4 linked regions of the Arabidopsis thaliana genome follow. The protein of the gene in region 3 interacts with the protein of the main gene of each other region in a pairwise test. Each region holds a gene or a part of one and is shown on either strand. Other genes may lie near its edges.

Region 1 (7,651 bases), on a different chromosome or scaffold from region 3:
ACCTAATCCCATTCCGATAAAACCGAACAAGAAAAAGTTATATTGCAAGATATTTTCCAAATTCACAACAATTTCGATCAATTATCGAAATGACGTTTATTTTCTCAAGTTAATAGGAGTTAGATTTCCTTTTTTACCATGTTATAATATTCTAATTATCTTAACATGAAGACGCAAACAAAAACCATACTCATTCTACAAATTTCGTTTCATATTCTTTGGTGAAAACTAAACTTACTATAAACGATATTGTGAAAAAAAAAACTTACTATAAACGATAAGGGCATATATTAATTTACCTACCAATAAAAATGTCCTACGAACTACGGATCGATACGTGTCTAGAGATAAAGTTTTTGCTGACGCAAAATGAGATCTAATTTTAGGGTAAAGCCCCAAATTGCGGGTCGGAATATTTTGGTGTTTCACACAACAAAACCACAAAACGCTTTCACTTCCAATAAGGAGATTGGGACCCAAATCACTTTCTCTGTGGACCATTTTAGTCAGACAAAGTCTTAATGTAACTCCAAAATAACCCTTCACTATCATATTGATTGAAGAAATGAGTAAGGAAAGTGACATATATAGAGTTCAGTAAAAATATTCATATAAGAAAAAGACCAAAAGATCTTATAATTACAGTATTACGAGTCGACAGAGGGATTATATAGTTTTTGTTTCCATCAAAGGCAAAGGCAAATCTCCCTTTTTTATAAGTAATAAAGAGAGATTTTTGCTAGTAATTAAACTAAGATGATCTCACTACTAATTTATAAGATTGAAACTTAACTTGAATAAAAAGGGAGGTTTCCATCTACTTCTAGTAGTTGAATGAACCCCCAACTGATGCGATACCGTTACCGAGATTCCTCGGGTCTGACCGGTTCCCAAAGTCGTCACAGTTCCCGTTGCTCGGGAGCTTATCGACATTGTTGGAAGATGGCGCGGAGTTGAGAAGCTCAAGGCCTCTTTTTCCCATTTGTTGCACTTCTTGTGGTGACAGTATCTTAATGCACCACACGCTGCTCACAAACTCCCTGTCGATAATGGTAAATGCAGGTAAATAAACATGGAAATGGACAAAACCAAATGCGGAAATGAGGGATAAGTTAATAAACTCACGGCCAAGGGTCATCGCCGAGGAGAAGAACGTCGTTCTCTCGGTCAACAAATACAAGCTGCCAGCCTGATCTCACAGGGTCTTCTAATTGGCCTTCGAGGCCAAACATGCGAGCAAGCTCGCTTCGCAGCTCGTGGTAGCTGCTAAACTTTGATATATCTAACGATCTTCCAAAAGACCCTGACTTGTACACCTACAAAAACATTTCCGGAATCATCGCTATGCATGCAAACAAGAAGAACATTTTGGGTAGGGAAAAGAAATAAAACTTTACCTTCACAAAGGTGTTAGATTGTGGGTTCTCGGAACCGAGGTTTTCTGAGGATTGTAGAAAACCCGATTCATCTATGCAACTAGAAGGTGTTGTCATTGCAAGATTACCCGAGAAATCATTGTTGAAATTAGATGATGTGAAGGGTAAAGTCGTGGAGTCACCACCTTCAATACCAATGCTTCTAAGGTTTGACATTCCGTTCGGCATCAAAAGAGAAGATGAATCTATATTGACTCCAAAGAGAAGATGGCTATGCGGGTCTGAGGCGCTTCCTTCTTGCTCGATCGAGCACTCTCTACCACCGGGAAATGGAGGCAACGAGACAGCGTTTGGAGGAACGTTGCTTGTGTGGGACTGTCCCAGTTGCTCCAATACGGATTGAGTGTTATTATTACCGGCTCCAGAGTGCTGGAACGATGAATCAACTGCAGGACGCTTTGATGGCCAACCGGATGAAGTCATTGCAGAGTTTGTTCTAGTGAGGTGGAGCAGTTGAGAAGATTCGTCTTGAGAGAAGTTACTGAGAAGAGTGTGAAGTGGAGAAATAGGATTGTTTCCTCCGTTGGTATCGGAGAAGCTTTGCTGATGACACAGAGAGGTCATGGACTGGAGTGGTGACGTGTTGGGCTGAGAAGCAGAACCAAATTGAGACATAGCGGAAACAACAGCAGCACTGGACGCAGACGGATTATGATTATCCACTACTTGCTGCTGCTGCTGAGAAAGATGATTGTTTGACTGTGATTGAGCCTGAGACTGAGGCTGGTGGGTTTCAGGAACGCCAAGATACGCCTGTTGCTGCTGCTGCTGAGAGAGTTGTTGCTGCTGCTGTTGAGAGAGCTGCTGCTGCTGCTGTTGAGAGAGCTGTTGCTGCTGCTGTTGGGAGAGCTGTTGCTGCTGCTGCTGCTGCTGAGAGAGTTGTTGCTGCTGCTGAGAGAGTTGCTGCTGCAGCATCTGCGGCTGCACTAAGGACGGAGATTGCATTGAGAACCCCGGCGAATTTTGGAACTGAAGAAGTGAAGCAGCAGCTTTTGCAGGATCAATGCCTCTCATGTCTTGAAGGGCAGCTGCAGCCATTGCTTGGTACACATCATTTTGCATACCAAGCAAGCCCGACGTATCAAGTCTCGGCTGCATCCACGGGTTTACTCCCATACCTTGAAAGTTTAGAGATTGGAGTCCTCGATCCCACATAAGCGGTGAACTCATACTCATACCCATATCATCTTCTTTAAGGCCTGCAACCAAAATTAGAAGATATAAAAGACTAGAAATAGAAACCTTTCAGAGATTTGTTAAAGTTTTGAAATTTACAATACCATGGAAAGATGGGAGACCAGGAGGCCACGGCCGTTTAAGCCTGAGAGGAAAAGGAGATGGATACATAGGGAATGTTGTTAAAGGCTCAATCTCCCACAATGAAACCCTTGGCTGTCTCTCTCCTGCAGTAGATTCGTCCCACCCAACCTGCATTTTGATCAGATGATGAATGATATATGTATACGAGAATGCAAAGACCAATGAATATTTTCTACTAAAGGTTTGGTTTTGAGCTAAACCTTGACAGATCGCCAATGCGAATTAGCCCAACGAGTAGGATCTAGATCACAAATGCCAGTTATTGTACCCATGTACCTGACAACAAACGAAGATTCTTAAGGACATTCAGCAGCAAAAAGCAGAGTAAATTATAGGAACTCTGATAATTCACCTACCGACGAACACTAGATTCTTCAGTTTCAAACAGCATCCTAAACCGCATACCAACAGAGACGCGAGTGTGATAAACCGCTTTCACATACTTAGCCAGGGGTATAACAAACTCTGATGGACTCGCCCTGCAGAAAAACCGAATCCGTTTGATGCAAAACGAAGAGAATCAACACATAAGTGCATTCATAAGGTACTTAAGACGATACCTCGGGTTATAGAAGATGGTGAATCGGCTGTTTGTAGCGGCAGCATGAGCTGCTGCAGCAAGAAGGCCTAAATGCATACTGTCACTTGACAAAACAGATGAAGGCATGACAGTTTGTGGTCGGTTGGCTCGTCTTATACCAAGAAGTAATTGATTCTTATCGTTCCTAGCATTACAAATACTTGAGTCAGTTTCATGATTTGAATGTAACACTTAAACAAAAACCCCAATTTGAAAGATGTTTCTAACCAGATGAAAAGAACAGAGTCACCAGCAACAAGCCTTTTAGCACTCACAAATACGCTCCAACCCGTGGTAAGGAGATGTCTCTTTGGTTGGCCTATAACGCAGAAACAAATACAGATTAAATAAATCTCTTTGTTCTTCAGCTATTAATAAGAACTTGGATTTTTCACGAAGAAAGCTAACCTCGGAAAATATGCCTGAACTTCCATTCATTATCATGCAGATCCCTCGCCATTAACTCTTGAGCTGGTGGCTGCTGCGAGTAATCCTGAAGAACACATAAAATTTTATTGTTAAGGAGGCAATAGCTAATCTTGAAAGTAGAATTCATATGAACAATAAGATGAATTACCAAGGGAGGGAAAACTTTCTCAGCAGCTCGGCGAGGTACAGAAAAACCTCCGTGAGTGCTTGTATCACTAGCAGTCAGAGTTTTACAGAAATAGTTTGTAGGCTGTCTACTTGGGACACCTAATTCCGCGGGAAGGTAAGGATCTTTTTGCTCTTGCTGCATTCAAACCAAGCAAAGAAGGTTCAAAACACCGACAAATTCCACAAAATTAATTATGAATTACATAGTAAAGTCTCATACCGCATTCAACGGTTGCAAAGTCATCTGTGCATAGACTTCATCAGTCTCCACATCAGCCTGAAATGGTAAGGAATCAAGTTCTTAACTAACACACAAACAGAAAAGACACTTAGAAAAGTTTGTCATAAAAACTGATAGTGAGTTCCTTACATGCATTGTAACATTATGAAGCTGACAGATAAGCTGCGGATGCAAGCTCGGATAATTTGGTATATGAGCATCTACTTCTTTGTTGGTCGAAGCAGCAACCTGAAAACCACAAAACATTCTCAAGTAACCTGTAACCAAAAAGGAAAGATTTGAATCCAAATCATAAAAGGAAGGAGACAAAAACCTGTTCACTGTGACCTTGAGGAAAATACACAACTCTGCTTCCAACAGGAGGTAGTGAGACAAGAGGACCAGCACAAGCATGCCAGAGCTCAGAATTAAGAACTCTTTTCTCTCCTGTAACTTTCAATCCAAAACTCACAAAGTTAGTTTAAAATCACTATTTGCTAGAAGTATCAAAGCAATAGAGAGAGAAAAGAGAGAATTACCTTCATGAGGTTGAGGATTAAACCCAGCTGAAGATAATCTCATTTTTTATTCTAACTTAAAAAGCAAACAACAAAGAACAAAAAAAAAAACACAACTTTGTTTCTTCAAAGATCCAAAGATTTCAAGATGCCCAAATGTAATTATGAAGAAGAGACACTAAAAGCATAACTTTTTTAACTGTTTCCCTCCACCTCCCACCCATTCACCAACCAAATCTAAAAACCCTAAAAAAAACAGATTTATTTCTTCTTCCCTGAAATAAATCATCAGCCAAATAAGCTCGCAATCTTGGTCTCGCCGACTTCAAAACCGCTTCTTCGAATCTTCAACTCCTTCATACTTGTAACTTACTTAATCCACCCCACTCATAACTCCCACTTAAAATTGTAAAAAACAAAACTTTGATAGTCGTTTGGGTTTCTCCAGAAAAACCCACCACCGCCAAAAGCTCAGAAGCCAAGAAAAAAAGAAACACAGATCTCGAGCTAACTAAAACGACAGAAGCTGGTGCCGTTTCTTCTTCTATAAGCTGGCTTAATCGAGATCTCAGGCGAAGTATATGATTAATGCAAAGATCGGGAAATGAGAAACAGAGAGATATGGGGCATGCACTTGCTCAACTGTTGCAGAACATGGGTACACAGAGAATAATCAAAGATAGACAAAGATAGAAAGAAAGAGACTGTTTTTATTTTTATGTTGAAGAATGATTTTTTTTTTCCGGTAACGAAATACGGCGGCGACGTGACGGTGCTATAATTATTTGTTTATTCTTCTCTCTGCTAAAGTTTTACTTACTTCTCTCTCTCTCTCTCTTATTTGAAATGAGAATCAGAAGAAGAAGAAAGAACGACAATGGCTGTTTTTTGACCCGAACCCGAACGGAGCGGGTCTTTGATTTTCTTCTAAAGCAACTTGTTGTTCTGAAAGGACACTTAATTTACTAATTTACCCCTTATTTCCTTTTTATTTACAGTTTGGGACTCGTGCCTTTTTTTAATTTATGCTTCTCCCGAATTTCAAAACTTCGTTGCGTCGTCCATGTAATTAAAATTGAGTACTATTATGGTTTTAATAATACGTTATGGTACAAAGGAAAAAAAAAAAAATAATAATACGTTATGGTACCATCATATATTATAGTATTACATGATCGTATTTCTTACTCTTTTTTTTTTCTTTGTCATAGTAGTTTTATAAAAATTATGTGTTGTTGTAGATTTTTTTCAGCTAGTGGATGACCAAAGGCTTTTTTATACTAGAGTTTTAGTGAACTATTGCAAATAAAATGAATCAATTTGTTTTAGGAAAAATATCATTGCTGTAGAAATCCTTTGGTTTACTGGTCAAGGTTTAAAAGTTCTGTTTGGAGTACATAAGTACTCTTTCATTGGCTATTTTATTTTGCCTCATTATTTGATTGTGTAATGTGAAAATGGAAGTGTGCGAATTACAGCAAAATTTATTTTATATAGAATATAGCAATAAGTCAATATATATAGACAGTGAAATCACCTGATAAAAATGACAGGACGTGCTTTTAGGGTTTCCTGATTCTATTTTTTTTTTTTTTATGTATATAATAGTAGTTCGAATTGCATGTAGAAGAGGGTATAATTGGTAATATATATGTATAATACACACTTCCTCGTTTGGAAATTTGCGAATCTGATTTCTTCAGCTATATATTGTAATAAAGAATATACGTGTTTTTTCTTAAGATTCCAATAAATTTTAATTAGATAATTTTATCCGAAAGAAAGAAAAAAATTTAGAGAACATGAATTTTGATTCCAAACAATGGAGATAGTGATCATTTACCTAGGGGAAATGACAAGACTGCCCTAAGAAGGCACGTGCAACTTCTTGACGTAAACAAGGGTAACGTTGGAAACAGCATTATATACAAATAGATCAGTACCATCGCCATATCTTTTGTAGATTTTATTTATTTATTTGTATTAAATTCAGTTGCATTATTGTCAGTTGCTAGAAAATTCGGCTAATGTGTTTTTATGCAAGAAAGTGATATACGTACATAAAACATCAGCATCAAAAGTATCCAACTAGCATTTGTTTATGCAACTAATTCTTAAGCAAAACCTTAAAAATTTGCGACAAATTAGAAACGTAGCTTATAGCTAGTACCCTAGTGCTTGTTTATTATATACAGAGAACATGTTATACAAAATAACAGTTATTACTTAACATTTTCCCACACAAACAAATATAAAAATATAACAGTTATTAGTTATTATATACACTAGATTTCACAAGTTATGTTTTAAAAAATGGATATATAGAATTATGGGTGAATTTAGTGAAAACAATGGAAGATTTCAGAATTACTTAACATAAAAAATTAAAAATGACAAATAAGGTGACTAGGTGAGTAATAAATAATTAAAAATTCGCTTTTAGAGACATCTTCTCATTTCTTTTCTTTTTTGTTTTTGTTACTTCATATTTCTCTCTCCCCCCTATTTTACAAATAATTTATTTAGTATAATCAACATATGTCAATTATCATGTTAAACTATTAATTTTTGTTATGTTTCAATATGAAACTAATTTTGAAGGCATCATCGATTATATGTCATGTATATAACAAAGCGTAGATTTGTAATTTTTGTAATGATGTTCCTAACATAGTTTCCTGGCGGCCAAAATAGTGCTTCTTAGTCATACTTGATCAATTCTGCTTACAAAATCATTCATTGACTTTTGTCATTCTCGTATTCGTATTGCAATGGAAATCAATTTTGATATGAACCAAAACGAATTTGTGAATGGTCAAATTCTTTTAACTAGCTATCACACCACTCTATACGTTTTGAATTGGGTCACAAGATTCTCAAAAGCGAAATCTTTCTTTATTAAGAACAGCCGGTATGTATATACGAATATGTATTAATATATTTCTGTCGGCGATATATACAAAGTTGAATTGACGGGTAA
Region 2 (5,904 bases), about 15 Mb from region 3:
ATACATCACATCTATATTTCGTCTTGTAACGCGGCCACATAATCTTCATCAACGAAGCTTGAATGTTGTAATAGTGTTTCACTATCAACAACACACATTTGTAGGCCTTATGTAATTAGCGAGAGAACTCTACAGTCTACACTATAACTTTGAGTGGAAATAAATACTCGTATATGGTAACATAAAAATACTATGAACTTATGATTATACAAACTTGTAAGTAAAAAAGAGTGGTAAGGCTATGTAATATCGTCGACGTTTTCTAGGTAAATCTTAAGCTATAAAAAAGATTTTGAAACCCAAATAGTATCGAGTGATAGCATTAGTCTCATCGGGTGGTTACAAGCCAACATTGATTCGTGTTGCAAATTTTATTAAATACAAGGGTGTACACAAATCAAAACGCAATAATATTTTTGGATCATAGTCTTTCTTCACTATCATTGGGAAAAATAAAATAAAATAAGAAAAATAGCGATAGAATTTCCTCTGTAAATGAGCAAAATTGGTAGGACAAGTCAGCATTTGACACGTGTCGGTCATGAATACGACTAAACAGCGTGGCAATTTCTCTTACTCTGACGTGTCCATGTGGGGACCACTTTCTCCTCCGACACTTCGGCATGGCTTTCTCAACTTTTTATCACTCTTCTTCACCATTCTCATTTACTAAGCGCGTGTCTCCCACCTCTATCCGATTTAATTTTTTAAATTTGACGTTTCAAAAGTTCCTTCTATAAAAGCAATTAACGATAATTATATGAAATCCGTAAACATGAATTTTTCAAATAATTTCGATTTTTGATTTGCTAAGATTAAAAGCGCGTGAAAGAAAAAAAAGAATACAGCATGAACACCAGCGACTCAGAACTGACTCGGCACGTGGTAACATAAAACTCACACGCTTCCCAAGACGCTCGTCCCATAAAGAGTCATGGCTGTGACCTTGTGCGAGTGTGGGTGTAGCCATAGCCTTTGTGGGTCCTAAATAAAAAAAACGATCAATGGCATAATGTGTAATTAACTCACATTCCACAGTGTTAAATAAAAATTAAATCTGTAACGGAAAAAACAATCTATCTGATGTTACACAAAAAAAAAAAATAACGGAAAAAAGAAAATGTGGCCGGGGTTTAATAGAGAAGCCGACACGTTTGCCTGCCACGATCCAGACACAAGACGATGTGGGTAACGGCACCGTCAAGTGCTAACGGCAACGGGGTCATCAGTAAAAAGGGCAATTTAGGGATATAGAGTAAAGTCATAAGCTTATTTATTACTATCGTCTTGATCGGACGGCTGAGATTTGCCCTCTCCTTTAAATGCACCGTACGTTTTTTTTTTACATAATAAAATGTAATTAGTTCATAAGCAATTCCCAAAACGCCGCGTGACCCTTCGTTTGCCTTTGAATACAATTTGTTTTATTTTAGCGCATTTAATATATTTGAGTTTCCTTTTTAGCGATGACATGATAAAACAAAAAACAACAATTTTAGAAAACATTTAATTAAATGAATAGAAAAATAGGGAGATTCAACTGAAGTTACTGTGGGTGGAAATGACAGGTCTCCAGGATCTGAACTAAGAGAAAGTCTCTCTATATTTTGATATATAGAGAGAGATAAAGAAGGAGAGAGTGTGAATATATGTATGTGCATGATACTGTGAGACTTCTTCAGTAAAGGAAGCAGCTTTGGTTTGCTGCGGATCGGGATAAAAACGGCGAGAAGTTTGTGATTGTTGAAGCAAAACAACACGGAATCTGAAAGGAAAGGAGAAGACAAAAAAAAAAAAAGATTTTAAGAGGAAGAGAGAGAGAGATCGGTTTCGTGGCTGACGGAAAAAAAAAGGGGAGAGATTTAGTTTTATCCAACAGTGCCTGAATTACGTTCTGCAATCAATACGGACATAACCGTCCGTTGTGTCCTGTTTATAAAGTTTTGCTTTTTTTATTTTCTCCATTGATGGGTCTTTTCTTTCTTCTCTCTCTCGTGTTTCTTTCATGGGGTTAAGACTAGTGTTTACCGCGTGAAGGTTTTTTTTTCTTTCTATTTTCTTTCATTTCCTCTCCTTCTACTTCTTCTTCTCCAGTTCTCATCTGGGTTCTTCAATGGCGAGTGTTGAAGGTGATGATGATTTCGGAAGTTCTTCGTCAAGTGAGTAGTAAAAGGCTGAGACTTTAGAAAGTTTTGTTTTTTTTTTTGTTTCTAACAGTGACTCTGTTTGGGGTTTTACTCTGTAGAATCAAAATCAGCTTTGTAAAGTTTCGATTTTTTTTTCTTTCATTTTCTCGGGAGACGAGCTTAGAAAGAAATAGAAAAAACCCCAACTTTCTTATTTTTCTCGTATAGCTTCAAAGTTCACATTTTTGTTATAGTTTTGCCGCGGAAATGTGACTGTTAGGGTTTTGTTGTTGTTTGATTTTAGGGTCTTATCAAGATCAACTATACACAGAGCTATGGAAAGTTTGTGCAGGTCCATTAGTGGAAGTTCCTCGTGCTCAAGAGAGAGTTTTCTACTTCCCTCAGGGTCACATGGAACAAGTATATACCCACCCAAAAATCATCTCTTTTTACCCCAATTTTTCTTTTTCCATTCTCTTTCTAAATTCTGGGTTTTTTTGCAGCTTGTGGCGTCAACTAATCAAGGAATCAATTCAGAAGAAATACCTGTTTTTGATCTTCCTCCAAAGATACTTTGTCGAGTTCTTGATGTCACTTTAAAGGTAAAGTTGGATCATAAATGTTAAAATGTTTTATTTCCCCTGAATCTGTTAACTAAATTTTGATTTATAGGCGGAGCATGAAACAGATGAGGTTTACGCTCAGATCACATTACAACCAGAGGAAGATGTAAGTTCTTAAAAAAAAAACTCAACTTTATTTCAGTGAGTGTTAATTTATATTGATTGGAATTGATTTCAATTTACTGTTTTGTTTGCAGCAAAGTGAACCAACAAGTCTTGATCCACCTATTGTTGGACCAACTAAGCAAGAGTTTCATTCGTTTGTTAAGATTTTAACGGCTTCAGATACAAGCACTCATGGTGGATTCTCTGTTCTTCGTAAACACGCCACTGAATGCTTGCCTTCTTTGGTAAATATATTCTTAAAGAAACCTTCTCAATTCAAGAAACTTTAGCTTGAATTCTCACTCCAATTTTACACTTTTTAGGATATGACACAAGCTACTCCTACTCAAGAACTTGTGACTAGAGATCTTCATGGCTTTGAATGGAGGTTTAAGCATATATTCAGAGGTATTGATTCTAATCTTGGTGTGTTTTTGTGAAACTGTGTTTGGACTAAATGAGACATTGACTCATTGAGTGCCGTTTTTGGTTTAGGACAACCACGGAGGCATTTGCTTACTACGGGTTGGAGTACATTTGTATCCTCGAAAAGACTTGTAGCTGGAGATGCTTTTGTGTTCTTGAGGTACTTTTGAAATTGAAACTTTATTCACTGGTCTTGTTTAGTTTCATGAACCTAAATGTAATGCCTTTGTGTTTTTCAGGGGTGAGAATGGGGATTTACGGGTTGGAGTGAGACGATTAGCTCGGCATCAAAGCACAATGCCTACTTCGGTTATTTCAAGTCAGAGCATGCATTTGGGAGTTCTTGCTACAGCTTCTCATGCTGTGCGTACAACAACAATCTTTGTTGTCTTTTACAAGCCTAGGTATATAGTAATGTTCTTTAGATGATTTTGCTTTATATACATAGATGGTTTAGGACTCTTTGATTGAAGAAAAGTTTTCTCTCTTTGCAGGATAAGCCAATTCATAGTTGGGGTGAACAAGTATATGGAAGCTATAAAGCATGGATTTTCTCTCGGTACCCGATTCAGAATGAGGTTTGAAGGAGAAGAGTCTCCTGAGAGAATGTAAGAATCCATTTTCTCTGATCATTTCTTTTTTGTCAGTGTTCTTGATTCTGAAACCTGGAACGTCTTCAGATTTACTGGTACGATTGTGGGAAGTGGAGATCTATCTTCACAATGGCCAGCTTCTAAATGGAGGTCATTGCAGGTTCAGTTAACCATTCCACGTTCTTACATTTTAGTGTTTTACTTATTACGTGGTCTTTATATAACGTTTTTGTCTTGGTCTTTCTTAGGTACAATGGGATGAGCCAACAACAGTTCAGAGACCAGATAAAGTCTCACCATGGGAGATAGAGCCTTTCTTGGCAACTTCCCCAATTTCAACTCCTGCTCAACAACCACAATCGAAATGCAAGCGGTCAAGACCCATCGAGCCATCAGTTAAAACACCAGCCCCACCTAGTTTCTTGTACAGCCTCCCTCAGAGCCAAGATTCCATTAATGCATCCCTTAAACTGTTTCAAGATCCATCACTTGAGAGAATTTCAGGTGGATACTCCTCAAACAACAGCTTCAAACCCGAGACTCCTCCTCCTCCAACGAATTGTAGCTATAGGTTGTTTGGATTTGATCTCACAAGCAATTCTCCTGCTCCAATCCCTCAAGACAAGCAACCGATGGATACTTGTGGAGCTGCCAAGTGTCAAGAACCCATCACTCCAACCTCAATGAGTGAGCAGAAGAAGCAACAAACATCAAGAAGTCGAACTAAAGTAATTTTCTTTATCAACTCATATAATAACATAGCAACAATGTTTTGAAAATCTGATTTCTTTGATCTTGGATTGAAAAAGGTGCAAATGCAAGGCATTGCGGTTGGTCGTGCGGTTGATTTAACACTGTTGAAATCTTACGATGAACTGATTGATGAGCTTGAGGAGATGTTTGAGATTCAAGGACAGCTTCTTGCCCGAGACAAATGGATCGTTGTCTTCACTGATGATGAAGGAGATATGATGCTTGCTGGTGATGATCCGTGGAAGTAAGTTCTAAAATAACAGAGTTAAACATTTCCGGTTTAGCTCAAATCAGTTAAATGTGAACTTAAACCGGAACTGATTTTGCAATGTTCTGTTGTGTGGGATTGTGCAGTGAGTTTTGCAAGATGGCAAAGAAGATATTTATATATTCGAGCGATGAGGTTAAGAAAATGACAACGAAACTGAAGATTTCTTCGTCGTTAGAGAATGAGGAATATGGTAATGAATCATTCGAAAATCGTAGTAGGGGGTGAGAGTTTTAGCTGTTAATTAAGGTTAATTCGGCGACGTCGTTTTAGTGCGTAAGTGTCTAAAGACTTTTTTTTTAGTCTGTGTATATAAAGTCTTGTCCTCTTTTTCATGTCAATTTTTCAAGTTGGCGATTTAATATTTCGGTTTTGGGACAGTGGTTGATGGGGCGGTTTTACATCTTTTATGTGTATGTACTTGTTCCATAACCATTCAATTTTCAAAACCAAGTACATTCAATTAGTTATGGGTTCAAAGATTATATTTCTAATCAATAATTAAGGCTTAAAAAAAAAAAAACTACAGTATTAGAGAAGAATACAAAATACGTGAAGGCGTGGAAATCAACGCGGCGGGCATCATATGAAAGTCATGGAAAAGTAAAGGAGTCAAACGACTAGTTAAGATTCTCTTTTGGAGTTGGTAAAAATATTTGTGGATTAATGAACTTCTAGGATATAGTGTTATTAGAAAATTGAACTGAAATCGAAAAAAATGAAAACTAAACTTTGGAAGTTCATGTTATCGTGCCAAAAATAAGTCTCCATGATGTTCTCTATAAAAATTCTTAAGTTTTAATTTCCAAACCTTTTAGCTGCATCAGATTTTTCTTTAATAAAATGCAAATGACAAAAGAAAGAAAATCTATTTTGTTTTCGGATAAAGTCACATATGAAGTGTATACTGTAGTTGATATTTGTCAAAAAAAAAAATATTGTTTTAAACTTTTAATTCAGATTTGCCTTATAATGAAGAAGAAAACAATACAATTATTTTCAAACTTAGT
Region 3 (5,037 bases):
TCAAATTATACTATTTGGAGGCATCAACGACTTACATAATTTATATGAGATTATTAATCTATAATATGAATACAATATATATATCTAATGATCCATCATCCATCCACCAGTAAGAACCATCAATAACTCGCAAGTCGTAACAAATTGTAAGTGAGTAACAAACATCCGAATATTAAAACTTTTATATCCTCTTTTGTAACTGTATCTTACTCACTTTTTTTTTAATAATGAAAACAAATTATATTGATTTCAACATATTTTTGAAATGATGACTAAATTAATCTTGTAAAGCCGCTACACATATAATCATCAGTTAGTTTAAAATATGACAGATTACGGACCACATGTCCCAAAAAATTAGGATACACAATTTATGATGAAATGACAACAAACCAACTTTAAATTCTACTTCTTATTTTTTTTGTGGGTTGTAGGATATGTTCAATTGTTCATTAAAGACTTCATCTAAAAGTCAATACATAATCAGAGTTTTTAAAACTAAAAAACGCTAGTAATGGTTAGAGAGTAGAATTAAAAAGCTAAGATTTTATTGGTAAAATAGTAAACATAACAACGAATTATTCATTTTGGGAAAAAACTATTAGATAACACACACAAGAAACGACAAGTAGCAGAGTAGGGATCAAAACACATGTACATGTACACACACCTACATACACACATTTATATGTATGCACATATCAAGTTGTGATTGATCATCAAACCGACAGACACATGTTGGGCAATAAATATGACACAAACACAGAGATATTGAAGTTTCCTCTCTTTTGGTCACATTACAAGTTTGTCCACATCTTACTGGTAAAATACTGCCCTATATACCCATCAAGTATTTAAAATTACAACACACATATATAGGTGATAGCCACATACAATCATAAAAATACATATAAAATCAAGAACCCGTCATATTGTTGATCATTGATGCTTCTTTTTTTTTATTATTAATTCAAGATCTGTTCTTGCAGTACTTCTCCATTGCTCTCGGAGCTATAACCAAGAAAACAGAATTATATTAAAATAAAAAGAAAATTGGTAAAAATTGAAAAACAAAAAAAAAAAAAAAAAGTTAGAGATGTACCAAGTCCAACTGCTTCAGATCCCTTCATAATGCGCAAACGTTTGCAAGACTCGACAAACATTCTGAAATAGGTATTCAAGTTTACGGTTAGAACATTAGAATATGAGTCGTTAACATTTAAAGTTTATTCTAAGGTTTTTGGCAATAATATGATGATGTGCCAGCTACGAATGAGCTCTAAACATATCGATACTATTGTATAATTTTTGAAAGATCCTCTTGTCTCTTGCCAACCAATGCATGGTTGTACGTATTTATAACACATGGATGTTGAATATCTTTGGCTTTGTCTCTACCAATTTCGGGAAATGTGGTTAACGAGTCAAGTTATAAGTTATAAAAAAAAGTATATGAAACGATTAAATTTGACTCACTCCCATGGGACATCGCCAACGAGCATCCAGTCACCATCTTTGTCCTCGTAGCTTGGCACATACTCAGAGCTATTCAGCAGATTCATTAGCTTGCTCTCGTTCATGAAATCTATCATTCCTTGTGCTCCATAGTTTCCTTGAAGATATTCAAGACATTCAAAAATCATATAAATTTATGTGTCATTATTGTGTAATATATATAATACATATTTAAGTTGTATACATTTAGCAAAATCTCATCTTGTTAATATGTATAGGGTTCGAATGTATAGTTCTATGACTCTAACTCGGTAAGGTTCATGAGTTTTGTATGAATAAATGTAGTAAATGATATACTTTAATATACGAATATAGTTTTTTCACACTTTCCGATTTGAAATTTCTAATACGTACCCATAGTAAAGGAGCTGAACATTTTGGCCAATGCATCAGAAAGATCCTGGTAGCTTTTGTACATCTTGAGGTCAACTTTCCTCAGATATGGAGCACCGTCCATGGAGACCTTCACCAAGCCGGCTCCGGCTGCTCCTCCACCAAAGTTCCCGGCCTTCTCACTGCTGGCCTCCTCCGCACCACTACTGGTCTTCTGCTGAGTCATCATGTTCTTCCTGTAGTTCCTCACAGGTGGCCATCCCACCACTTGTGCTCTACATAGAACAACATTATTTAGATAGGTGTATATCAACCAATGTAATTATTAGTTACCATTACTGCCTTTATGGGCTTGATTGTAAGTTATAACATGTATTATTTCATGTTTGCTTGTACGCATGTATGTATTGGTGTTTAAGTTTCAACCACGCTTTAATTATTATTATATTATTTCTTAGTATTATATTGATAGAAAACAAATATAACTTCAAAGAATCAAAGTTATGCATATAAATTTTAACAAAAAAAGGTAATGTATATGGGAAGTATATATATATATATATATATATATATATATATATATATAACTAACATTACAAATTTCAAGAATTTTTAGTTTATTCATATGTTTATGTAAATCCCTCACAATATTTATGTTCTGCGAGGACATATAACTATGAAATTTATATATATTCGAATATTCTAAGAACTTAGACATAGATGTGTATAAACACGTATATATGTATATATATGGACTGGAAAAAACTAAGAACTTTTTAACCAAAAAAAAAAAAAATCTAAGAATATATATATATGTAAATGTGTAGCTTACTTAGCAGGAGGCTTAGAAGGATCTTTAAGGGTAGTCTTCTCCTTGGGAACAGCAGAAACGTTTTTGAGATCAACGGAGCCTTCTTTGTTAGATTGAAGATTGAGCATGAGATCAACGGTTTCGGAGAAGCCTCTCTTGCTTCCCACCGCCGATTTGGCAGGACTCTCAACTGCTTCAGCGCCGCCGGGGAGGCCGAGACAGAGCTCCGTGGCCTTGAGGTTCATAAGTTGGCCGATCATGTTACTTGTAATAGATTAGAAATATTGTTTCTCTCTCTGAAAAGGTAAGAGGGGAAGAAGAAAGGAGAGGAAGGGGCAATAATAATATAAGGAGGGAGGATGGTGGTGGGGTGTATGTATTCGTGTAATTGCATGTGCATGTCTTTTGCTCTTTTTTCTTCATTGGTGGGGTTTATGACACGTGGGCTTGATTAGATGTTAGTTAATCATTTCTTCTCTGTTACTACAAAATTAAGCTAAGATAATTTTGTTTTGTTAATCTTCCATCTAGAAAGTTTTGAATGGTGACCGGGAAATTATGTTTTAATTAACTACGAGGATCAGGTCACATATTGATCATGATATGTAATGTAATTATTGTAGAACCGCGAAAATCCGGAGAGAAAACTTTGAAAACGATTACAAAGATTCCAAAAATATGATCATTCTTATTTTTGTGACAAACTTCACTGAAAAACTCGCCGAAAAGTTAGCCGGAAATACTTTGTAAAATTGAAGTTCCAACAGTTACGTGGTAGTGATGTTTTGTGATACTATCCGAATTCAAATAGTATGTATGAAGTCAAGTTATTCTTGACAATATATATATATACATATATGATATATTTTATAAAAGACTTTGGTATGATAATAAAAAGATGGGACATATTTCTCATATCTTACCAATTTGAAGAAAGAGATGATCTATGAGAATATTGAGAGCAACATATCTCTTACATAACCAAGTCATCTTGCTCCAATAGTAAAAGAGTGAAAAAATTTGCCACTTGAGTTCATGTAATATTGGCCATCATGGTTCGAATTCTAACATTAGTTTTTCCGAATCTCATAATTGGTGTTTGGATCTAAAAGTATTTTAGCATCATCTTTGTTATCAAAAAATAAAAAAAAAGACATATATATCTCTCACATCTTACCAAAATTTACATGTAATGTTTGCTTGACTTTTCGTATCTAATAGTCGGACTAAACCAATATGGGTCTTTTGACTCTGACGTAGTACTTATCATCGACAAATTTTCCTAAATAGCACATTAGATCACATATATTGGTTGTATAATTGTGTTCAGCATTTTTACTTAGAAATATATACAAACAAACTACAAAAAGTTTTGTTTGTTCTTCTCGTACGGTTCTGACATTTTTTTTAAATTTATTTGGTTCTGACATTAAACATACATTATAGTTCATAGTGAGCTACATCGTCTATTCTGGAGTTTCAGGATGTAGTTTGTTTATAAATTTGTAATGGTTGGGTTAGGTCATGTAGTTTTAAACATATTTCAGCTGGTTCTACCACTCTGTGTAGCTTTAGTATTTTAGCATTTGTACTATGACTCTATGAGTCAATACAAAGCTAGCATATAACTAGGTAGTATATAATACTTATATAGTATGAAACGAATTCAGATTGTTTGTTAAAGAAGAAAAGAATAAGTTCTCACAACATGTCTATATATAAACTATGAATGTATTAATTACTTCTATGTTTTGTTAATAGCCTATTTGTTACACTTTGTCTCCTCTGGTCAACTGTTCATCGCATATAAAGCAAGTGGAATTGGGCGGTGAAATTCCGTTAACCAAATTTGGTCAACATTCTAATTAGTTTGTGTCAAGCAATACAACTATACAAGTCACGTATATTATTTTAATTGTTTACGGTCTCCCGTTTTCTCTGTATCATCTTGGTTATTAAATGTGTCTTACTAAAAAATTAAAAATAAAAGAATAGTACTACTCATTAATAAGCATAGACATTTGTGGTATATAAACAGAGAATCTATTAATTGGTCTAGGTACATGTTCTTAGTGAGGACACTGAGTGAAGACTGACATCGATTTTCTTCTTCCCAACATAAAAAATGAACTTAATGCTTCTTTGTAATGTGAAAAGACTTGTAATTTTTACAGATGAAATCAAGGGCCATTGCATCATGGCTGACGAGACTGAGGAAAGTTCCTGTATTTTTACACTTAATTTTGTGATCCGTTTTGATCAAAAAAAAAAATTGTGATCCGTTTTATATATACATTTGATGCGCAACCAATCGAGTGAAAATATGTGAAATTATGTAGTTTTCTTAAGAATCGAGGCTTTTGAAACTTAAATATTTA
Region 4 (7,017 bases), on a different chromosome or scaffold from region 3:
TTACGTTTACGCATTTTGGGCAATTGCAGAATTTTAAACACAGAAAGGTAATAATCATAATCAATCATGTACTATTTTAAAATAAATTTGCAAAAAAGCATAATGAAAATTTCTGTGTGCACCATTTTTCAACTAAAATAGTACATACATTATCCCACATATTTTGGTACATTGTAAAAAATGAAATGACAGCATTACAATGGCTTTCCCTCTAATTTCATTCCTTATAATGATGAAATACAGATATTGTGAAATATTCCTAAAATGATAAAAATCTAATTCTAATATAGAAAATATAATAAAATTAATGTTAAATTTAAGGAAAATATAATAAAATTAAGGTTAACTTTTAGTTGAAAAAAAGGCTAAATCTATGTCACATCATTCTATTTAATTAATCCGTGCAGTATACTCTAATATTTATTTTCCTTAAAAAAGATTAAATCATCATCAAATATCTAGTATGTATTAGATATCAATCTAAAAATAAATAAAAAAATTGTAAGAACAATACAAGAGTATCCACATATGTAAGAACTTAAGAAATGAAATTTTCAAAATCAAGCAAAATACTTCAAAACTAATATATATATTGTAATTTTGAAAACCTTAAAATCCAATGGCATGCTTTACACATCCCATAAACTCACATATCTCTCGAGTAAAACGGTACACATGAGACATCCATGGAGACCAGAAGAAACACAAACAAACACATAAATGGATTCAAAGACAAAGATAAAGTTGAAGTTCTTTTGTGAGCAAAACACACTTTAAAACATAGGAAATAAGCTTCTTTATGGGTATCAAACCCTAGTGATTGTAGGAGAAGAATCAGGCTGGCTCACAGAAGATGACTTTGATGCTTCCATCATGAGAGCAGCTTGCTCTAAACAACTCTTGTTATCGTCATTCGCATTCTCCACTTCCTCTTTCGTGTATAAGTGTATCTTCCACACCACATTGCAGAAATCACTATCCATAGCAGAAAGCCAATTTCAAGTTAGGAGAAAAGAAGTTGTGATTGACCTTTAGAAGGTATGTATAAAGAACTTACTGCCATGGATCATCGCCAACGACCATCATATCGTTCTCACTATCAGTATATAAGATCCTCCATCCTTTTTCAGGATCCCTGAGAAGCCCTTCCATGTTGAACAGCCGTTCAAGCTCCATAAGGAGATCATCATACCCGTTAAGTCGCGACAAATCAATAGCTCTCCCCACTTGGCTTCCTTGCTTGTGAACCTTTTGATAACAATTCAACACAAGAACTGATTAGAAGAGACATCTAAAACTGCAACTCAAAGTAGCCAAAGAGATGATAAAGAAAACGTTTTACCTTTGTACAGATTCTTTTGCTCGAGCTTTGCGGCTTAGATGCAGGTGTCTCCACTGGTAAGGAGAATCCGAAAAGTTTACATCCTGATGAAGCATTCATATTCAACTCACTGCCTTTCTGTTTTCCCATCATATCAATCTTGAATGGCAAATCAGCTGTAACATTATTTGGTAGGCCACCTTCATTTTGTGCATCAAACTTTCTAGTCTCTTCACCAAAGTTTATTGCACGTGAAGGGGGACCCGAGGATTGGTTTCCCGCATTGTATGGATTCTGATACGGAACATGAGTGCTCCTAATCCCATGCAAAGCTAGCGGATAGTAACTTGACTTGTTGGCTTGGTAAGCAAAGGGATTAGGAGCAGCAGCTGGACTGAAACCAGCAAATTGCGGGAATGATTTAAGCGAGCAAATTTCTTGACCTTGCAAGACCCTTGGAAACCTATCCAGGTCCATAACACCTGAACAAGCTGGGTTCACGCCAGTAGCATCTACAAACTCACCAAATCGATCCTTGACTCTACTCGACACAAGAACTGGATTTGCATGAGACTGCATCGCAAAATCCAGTATCCGGCGGTTCATAACATCAAACCCCTGTGAGGGTGATGCAGAACCTATATTTTCTTGACCTTGCAAGACCTTAGAGGGTCTAACCGACTCCTCAAAGTCCAAAAAACCACCCCTTTCTGCTGCAACCAAGAACAGTTATCAATAATATACTGATGAAAATTGAGAACTGTTTGCAAAAGCATATACTCCAAAGAGAAGAGAGGTCTATATAATTTACTTGTTATGGGGTTTCCGGGTGGGGTAGTATCCAGTAAACCTGCCCATGGCCTTTTAGGCCTTGGAGATGACTGAATGCTCAAGTGTGGGAGAGAAACCGAGGGATCAATCTCCCAAGGTGAAACTCTTTCTTGATGATCACTCACAAAAGACTCATCCCATCGCACCTGCCAAACAAATGTGAAAGATTTAGATATCAATCTTCGAAAATGAAAAGTCTTCTACACGTTAATAGACAGATACTCCAAAAAGATGAGAGGACGCACCAACAAGCACCTCCATTTAGAGTTTGGCCACCTATACGGGTCCAAGTCACAGACTCCAGTCACTACACCAGCGCATCTGCAAGAAAGATCGAATATAAATTCTCGTCCAACAATATTAGCTACACAACACAGAGAAAGAAGCAAGAAAGAAACAATACCTTCTCTCAGGAGAATCGTCCATTTCAAATCGCATTCTAAATCTTGTGCCTATGCAAACAGGACTCCTGATGCTTGTGATATACTTCTCATAAGGAATCACAAACTCTGCATGCGTCGCTCTGTATATAAATCCACAAATCAACATTATAGTTCTTTATTTCTTACTGAACCTAGTTAAGAATCATTACGAATGGCAGCTTTTCATTTTTATCTCACCGTGGACTGTAGAACACATGAAACATGCTTTTTGTAGATACAGCATTAGCCACAAGAGACAGAATGTTTGAACATGAATTCTTCTCAATGATTGAGTCAGGAAGTCCATTTCTTGGCCGTGCTGCTCTTCTGATTCCTAATCTCAGCTCTCCTCCTTCGTCTCTATAAACGCCGATATTAGTAATGAATGTAAACATTATTGGATCAAGGGCTTCAAACCACCAAAGCAGAGGGAAACACCATGAATCTACATCACCATTTGATAAACTGAAATCTTACGATTACCTCAGAAAGAGAACCGCATCACCAGAGACGAGATTCTTTTGACTGACAAAGATACTCCAACCAGTGGTGAGTAGATGCCTCCTTGGTTGACCTATATTAAAAAGAGACAGAACTAAACATTTTGGTTTCACTGACGAAGAAAAAAGAAACGAATAATAACAAACTCAAAACCACCTCTATAGATATGGCGAAACTTCCACTCTACTCCATGGAGGTCCTTTGCAATGAGCTCTTGAGATGGCCTCTGTTGTTTGTAGTCCTAACACCAGTGGAAAATTCACAAATAAGGCTTATAACAAGAAGATAAAACCTCTCCTTAAAAAAAAAAATAAGGAAATGAGATATAGAGAATTATACAAGAGGAGCAAAACAATCTTCAGCGGCTCTTCTAGGTACAGAGAAGCCTCCATGTGTGCTTGTGTCAGACGCTGTTAAGGTTTTACAGAACATATGAGGTGTCCGCTTGACGGATGAGCTTCCGTTCCTCTCTTCCTCCCCTCCTAACTCCTTGACCTCTTTCCCCTCCCCATTTAGCATCGAAAACTATAAAAACCAAGAAGTTACTTCAGCATCTTAACATCACAGAGATTATAAATGAAACTCAACAAGACCAACGGTTTCAGTGATTCCTCTGATCCTGTTAAACCAATGATGAGTTTGAGTCACTTAGAGAACAAACAAGATTATTCACAATCTCTTTAAACCGTAGCATCTAAAATCACACCTAGAATCTGGAATTACACTAGTGATATCAAAAATCAATTGAATTGTCAAAAAAGCAACAAGTTTGAGTAAAAGAGAGTACCTCTTGAAGTGGAAGCAGAGTGACTTGAGTGTAGACCTCATCGGTGTCCTTATTAGCCTTTTGTTTCCCCAAAAGAAGGAACCAAGTTTGCAAACAATTACCACAATTAGAGAAAGAAAACAGAACTTGTTCAAGAATAGTAAAATAGAACACAAAAGGAATGTTCTTTATTTGGGTAGAGTGATACAGACAGACTTACAAGCAACTGGACATTAACCACCCTGCAGACGATTTGGGGATTAAGGTCAAATTTGGGGATTTCAAGAGGAGACGAATATGAAACCATAGCATCTTGCTCCAAATGACCTTGAGGGAAATAGACAACTACATTGCCTTTCTTGGGAAGACAAGTGAGAGGACCAGCACAAGCATGCCAAAGCTCAGAGTAAATGGAAGATGCAGAGCCTGTAGAAGATGATGACGATGATGATCCGGAAGAGCATGAAGAAGAAGAAGATGGTGAAATTCCAAGCCTACCCTTGTCAATTCTTGTTCCTCCTCCTACTCCTACTCCTACATCATCATTCTCCTCCTCTTCCACCTCCGCAATCTCAGTATTCAAGTCAAATTCCATTGAAAAAGCTTCTCTTTTAAGAGCAAAAGGAGACAAGAAGAAAACAAAAAGTTTCTATTTTTAATCAGATTACAACAAAACAAGTAAAACCCATCAAAGGAAAGTTTGCAAAATTCGAGCTTTGAAGTGACAGAATTCGGAATTCCTCTCCTTTTTCAGCTAAATTTCACAAAGAAGAGGCAAACTTAGCTATTGACGGGAAAGATGAGTCATAAGTGTGGAATAACGAATCAGAGACAGAGAGAGAAGAAGAGAGAGGAAGGAGGAATCAAATGAGAACAAGGGTTTCAGAGAAGGATTCTTCTTCCTCCATTTGCAGGTACTGAGAAGAGGGAGCACAAGGAACAGACATAGACTAAAATTTGCAGATTGGAAAAAAATATACTTTTTAAAGAGCAAAAAAAAAACAATTTAGTGGAAAGAGAGAGAGAGAGAGAAAGAGAGGGAGAGATAAGCGGGGGAGACAAAGCCAAGACAGAACAGAACCCACACCTACACTCTCCCTTTCTCCTTCTTCTTCTTCTTCCTCTTCTTCTCTCTTTTTTGTTTTTGTTTCCCAATAAAGACTTATTTATTCACATGAAATTTTATATATAAAAACTATATTTGTGTCAATATACACACGTTTACACAAAATAAAAGTTTTCACTTTTTTGCTAATTATTACCGTTTTTGATTTTCGTCCTTTTTGTTGAAAGAAGAAATGTTAAAAGTTTAATTAGGTGCTAATAAGACTAATTCAATCCATTGTCTAGATTGTTTTCTTCAAAATCAACTGTTTTTTAAATACGTCAAACCATCGATGAATCAATCGTTTAATTATTCATACTAGACTATTCACTCAAAATGAACCATCAAAGTTTATATGCATCTATTGGATTTATGGTATTACGAAATTGACGTAACCCTTTGTTTTTCTCATTCACACCATAATTTTCTTTAACTTGTGTGAGTTGTGAGGAATAAAAACCGCAAATTGATTAGCTTTTTCTTTGCATACTCTTACAAAGGAAACAGTATCTCTTTGGAATCTTTCTTTGTTCTTTCTTTTTTTATGTTATGAATTTTTATTTGTTTTCGATTTATTAGAAAAAATGCTTTTTCATTGCGTTGTTAAGAGCCAACCAACCGGCTAAAGACAGAAGAGTAGGCTCCTTTCGATTTTGTAACAAAAGCACTTTTTCTCTCTTTTTCTGAGACAAACAATATGAAAATCAGCATTTTGTTATTGATTAACTAAAGTACTGTCTGTGTTTAAAAACCTAATCAACTAAAAAAAACTTTCAGCGGTCTGTAATATAAAATTTATACTTCAATAACCACACCGACTCTTTCAGTAAAATAAAACTACTCAAATACTTACTACTTATTGGATAAATATCTTCAAATGGGTTTAGTAAAAATAAATAAAATATATTTGATGGTCCAAATGATTGCTTCATAATTTGAAAACATTTATATATACATTTTTGCAGTCATTTTAGCAAATAAATCTTAGAGTTGAACTTATTTACAACCCAATGCCATTAGCATTAAATCTTTTTTTCAAAATAATTAATTTTACTTTAAATTTTTAATTTAAATTGTCAATCACATTATCAATCAAATTTAATCCAAACAAACTTCACATCAATCCCTTAAAATTAGCATAAACGTATTTTATTAACAAAATTTTTTGTTTAAATAAATATTGTTCTTACTAAATATTTTTTGTTTAAATAAACAAATCATGTATTTGAACTTATTTACAATGTCATGCTACTGACATTAATTATTTAGGCATGAAAATATTTATTTAAAGATTTAAATCTTTTAAATTTTGCTTTTAGAGTTATTATATCATTTACCTAAAAGGCAAAAAATATTAATTTTTTAAATATTATTATTTGTATATTTAAACTTCATAAAACATTATTAATATTTGAATTTATAAAAAGTTTAATCTATCAAAAATAATTAACATCATTATATAATATATAAAGTTTAAAAAAATCTCAAAAAAAATTTCGTCATATTTTGTAATTCGAAATTTTAAGAATGAACATATATTAACCAATTGGCGAAAAATGTGTGGGTACAACGTCCCGCAACGACTAAAATATTTTGACAATGATTCATAAACATATTATAAATAAGATCAACATTAATAAAATAAATAGTTTTTTTTTGTGGACGGGTTTGGCAGGACGGGTTTGGCAGGACGTTACTTAGTAACAATGGTAAACTATAAAATAATTTACAAATTTTTATATATATTAATTTTTAAAAATGAACTGTGTCCGCGGTGTACCGCGGGTTAAAATCTAGTAACATGTATTTTTGCTCATATAATATTAGTTTGCTACTAATTCATATAACCTGATCAAAGTATCATATTATGTTTTGTATATTCCTTTCACAATTTCGCAACTTACTTAATTATCTACTTTTAAAAACATTTGATTATGAGTAATAACCTTTCGTAACTTCATTGGAGAAGAAAAAAAAGAATAAGAAAAGAAGAAAACAAAAAGGATGATGGGATGGGAGAAGGAGAAAGAATGAGTCTCTTCTTCAGAAGTTGTGAGTTAGTGACTGAGTC

Evidence for each region.
Region 1: the proteins of IAA7 (region 3) and ARF6 interact in a two-hybrid assay, tested with the Arabidopsis thaliana proteins (2 studies listed by BioGRID).
Region 2: the proteins of IAA7 (region 3) and ARF18 interact in binary tests that used the Arabidopsis thaliana proteins (3 or more experiments, as listed by UniProt).
Region 4: the proteins of IAA7 (region 3) and ARF4 interact in a two-hybrid assay, tested with the Arabidopsis thaliana proteins (2 studies listed by BioGRID).

What each region holds. Positions count from the first base shown.
Region 1 is NC_003070.9:10,685,302-10,692,952, forward strand, and holds ARF6 (auxin response factor 6), read right to left. Parts: upstream 5,688-7,651; 5' UTR 4,736-5,687; coding exon 4,693-4,735; intron 4,607-4,692; coding exon 4,488-4,606; intron 4,403-4,487; coding exon 4,304-4,402; intron 4,211-4,303; coding exon 4,154-4,210; intron 4,070-4,153; coding exon 3,914-4,069; intron 3,830-3,913; coding exon 3,745-3,829; intron 3,656-3,744; coding exon 3,565-3,655; intron 3,482-3,564; coding exon 3,317-3,481; intron 3,236-3,316; coding exon 3,113-3,235; intron 3,033-3,112; coding exon 2,957-3,032; intron 2,865-2,956; coding exon 2,717-2,864; intron 2,636-2,716; coding exon 1,398-2,635; intron 1,317-1,397; coding exon 1,126-1,316; intron 1,041-1,125; coding exon 824-1,040; 3' UTR 521-823; downstream 1-520. UniProt on the Arabidopsis thaliana protein: Auxin response factors (ARFs) are transcriptional factors that bind specifically to the DNA sequence 5'-TGTCTC-3' found in the auxin-responsive promoter elements (AuxREs). Seems to act as transcriptional activator.
Region 2 is NC_003074.8:22,886,058-22,891,961, forward strand, and holds ARF18 (auxin response factor 18), read left to right. Parts: upstream 1-1,831; 5' UTR 1,832-2,113; coding exon 2,114-2,159; intron 2,160-2,210; exon of another isoform or gene 2,211-2,430; coding exon 2,431-2,546; intron 2,547-2,629; coding exon 2,630-2,728; intron 2,729-2,798; coding exon 2,799-2,855; intron 2,856-2,946; coding exon 2,947-3,099; intron 3,100-3,177; coding exon 3,178-3,262; intron 3,263-3,349; coding exon 3,350-3,440; intron 3,441-3,519; coding exon 3,520-3,684; intron 3,685-3,774; coding exon 3,775-3,888; intron 3,889-3,960; coding exon 3,961-4,033; intron 4,034-4,121; coding exon 4,122-4,601; intron 4,602-4,682; coding exon 4,683-4,870; intron 4,871-4,980; coding exon 4,981-5,122; 3' UTR 5,123-5,398; downstream 5,399-5,904. Other genes in the region: AT3G61826 (uncharacterized protein), read right to left, coding at 574-666; AT3G61829 (uncharacterized protein), read right to left, coding at 1,134-1,265. UniProt on the Arabidopsis thaliana protein: Auxin response factors (ARFs) are transcriptional factors that bind specifically to the DNA sequence 5'-TGTCTC-3' found in the auxin-responsive promoter elements (AuxREs). Could act as transcriptional activator or repressor.
Region 3 is NC_003074.8:8,192,650-8,197,686, reverse strand, and holds IAA7 (indole-3-acetic acid 7), read right to left. Parts: upstream 3,082-5,037; 5' UTR 2,920-3,081; coding exon 2,681-2,919; intron 2,124-2,680; coding exon 1,870-2,123; coding exon of another isoform or gene 1,859-1,869; exon of another isoform or gene 1,613-1,858; coding exon 1,477-1,612; coding exon of another isoform or gene 1,473-1,476; exon of another isoform or gene 1,165-1,472; coding exon 1,103-1,164; intron 1,012-1,102; coding exon 971-1,011; 3' UTR 532-970; downstream 1-531.
Region 4 is NC_003076.8:24,307,752-24,314,768, forward strand, and holds ARF4 (auxin response factor 4), read right to left. Parts: upstream 5,034-7,017; 5' UTR 4,437-5,033; coding exon 4,062-4,436; intron 3,920-4,061; coding exon 3,863-3,919; intron 3,601-3,862; coding exon 3,415-3,600; intron 3,317-3,414; coding exon 3,232-3,316; intron 3,149-3,231; coding exon 3,058-3,148; intron 2,935-3,057; coding exon 2,773-2,934; intron 2,676-2,772; coding exon 2,556-2,675; intron 2,474-2,555; coding exon 2,398-2,473; intron 2,299-2,397; coding exon 2,133-2,298; intron 2,032-2,132; coding exon 1,343-2,031; intron 1,249-1,342; coding exon 1,058-1,248; intron 976-1,057; coding exon 807-975; 3' UTR 504-806; downstream 1-503. UniProt on the Arabidopsis thaliana protein: Auxin response factors (ARFs) are transcriptional factors that bind specifically to the DNA sequence 5'-TGTCTC-3' found in the auxin-responsive promoter elements (AuxREs). Could act as transcriptional activator or repressor.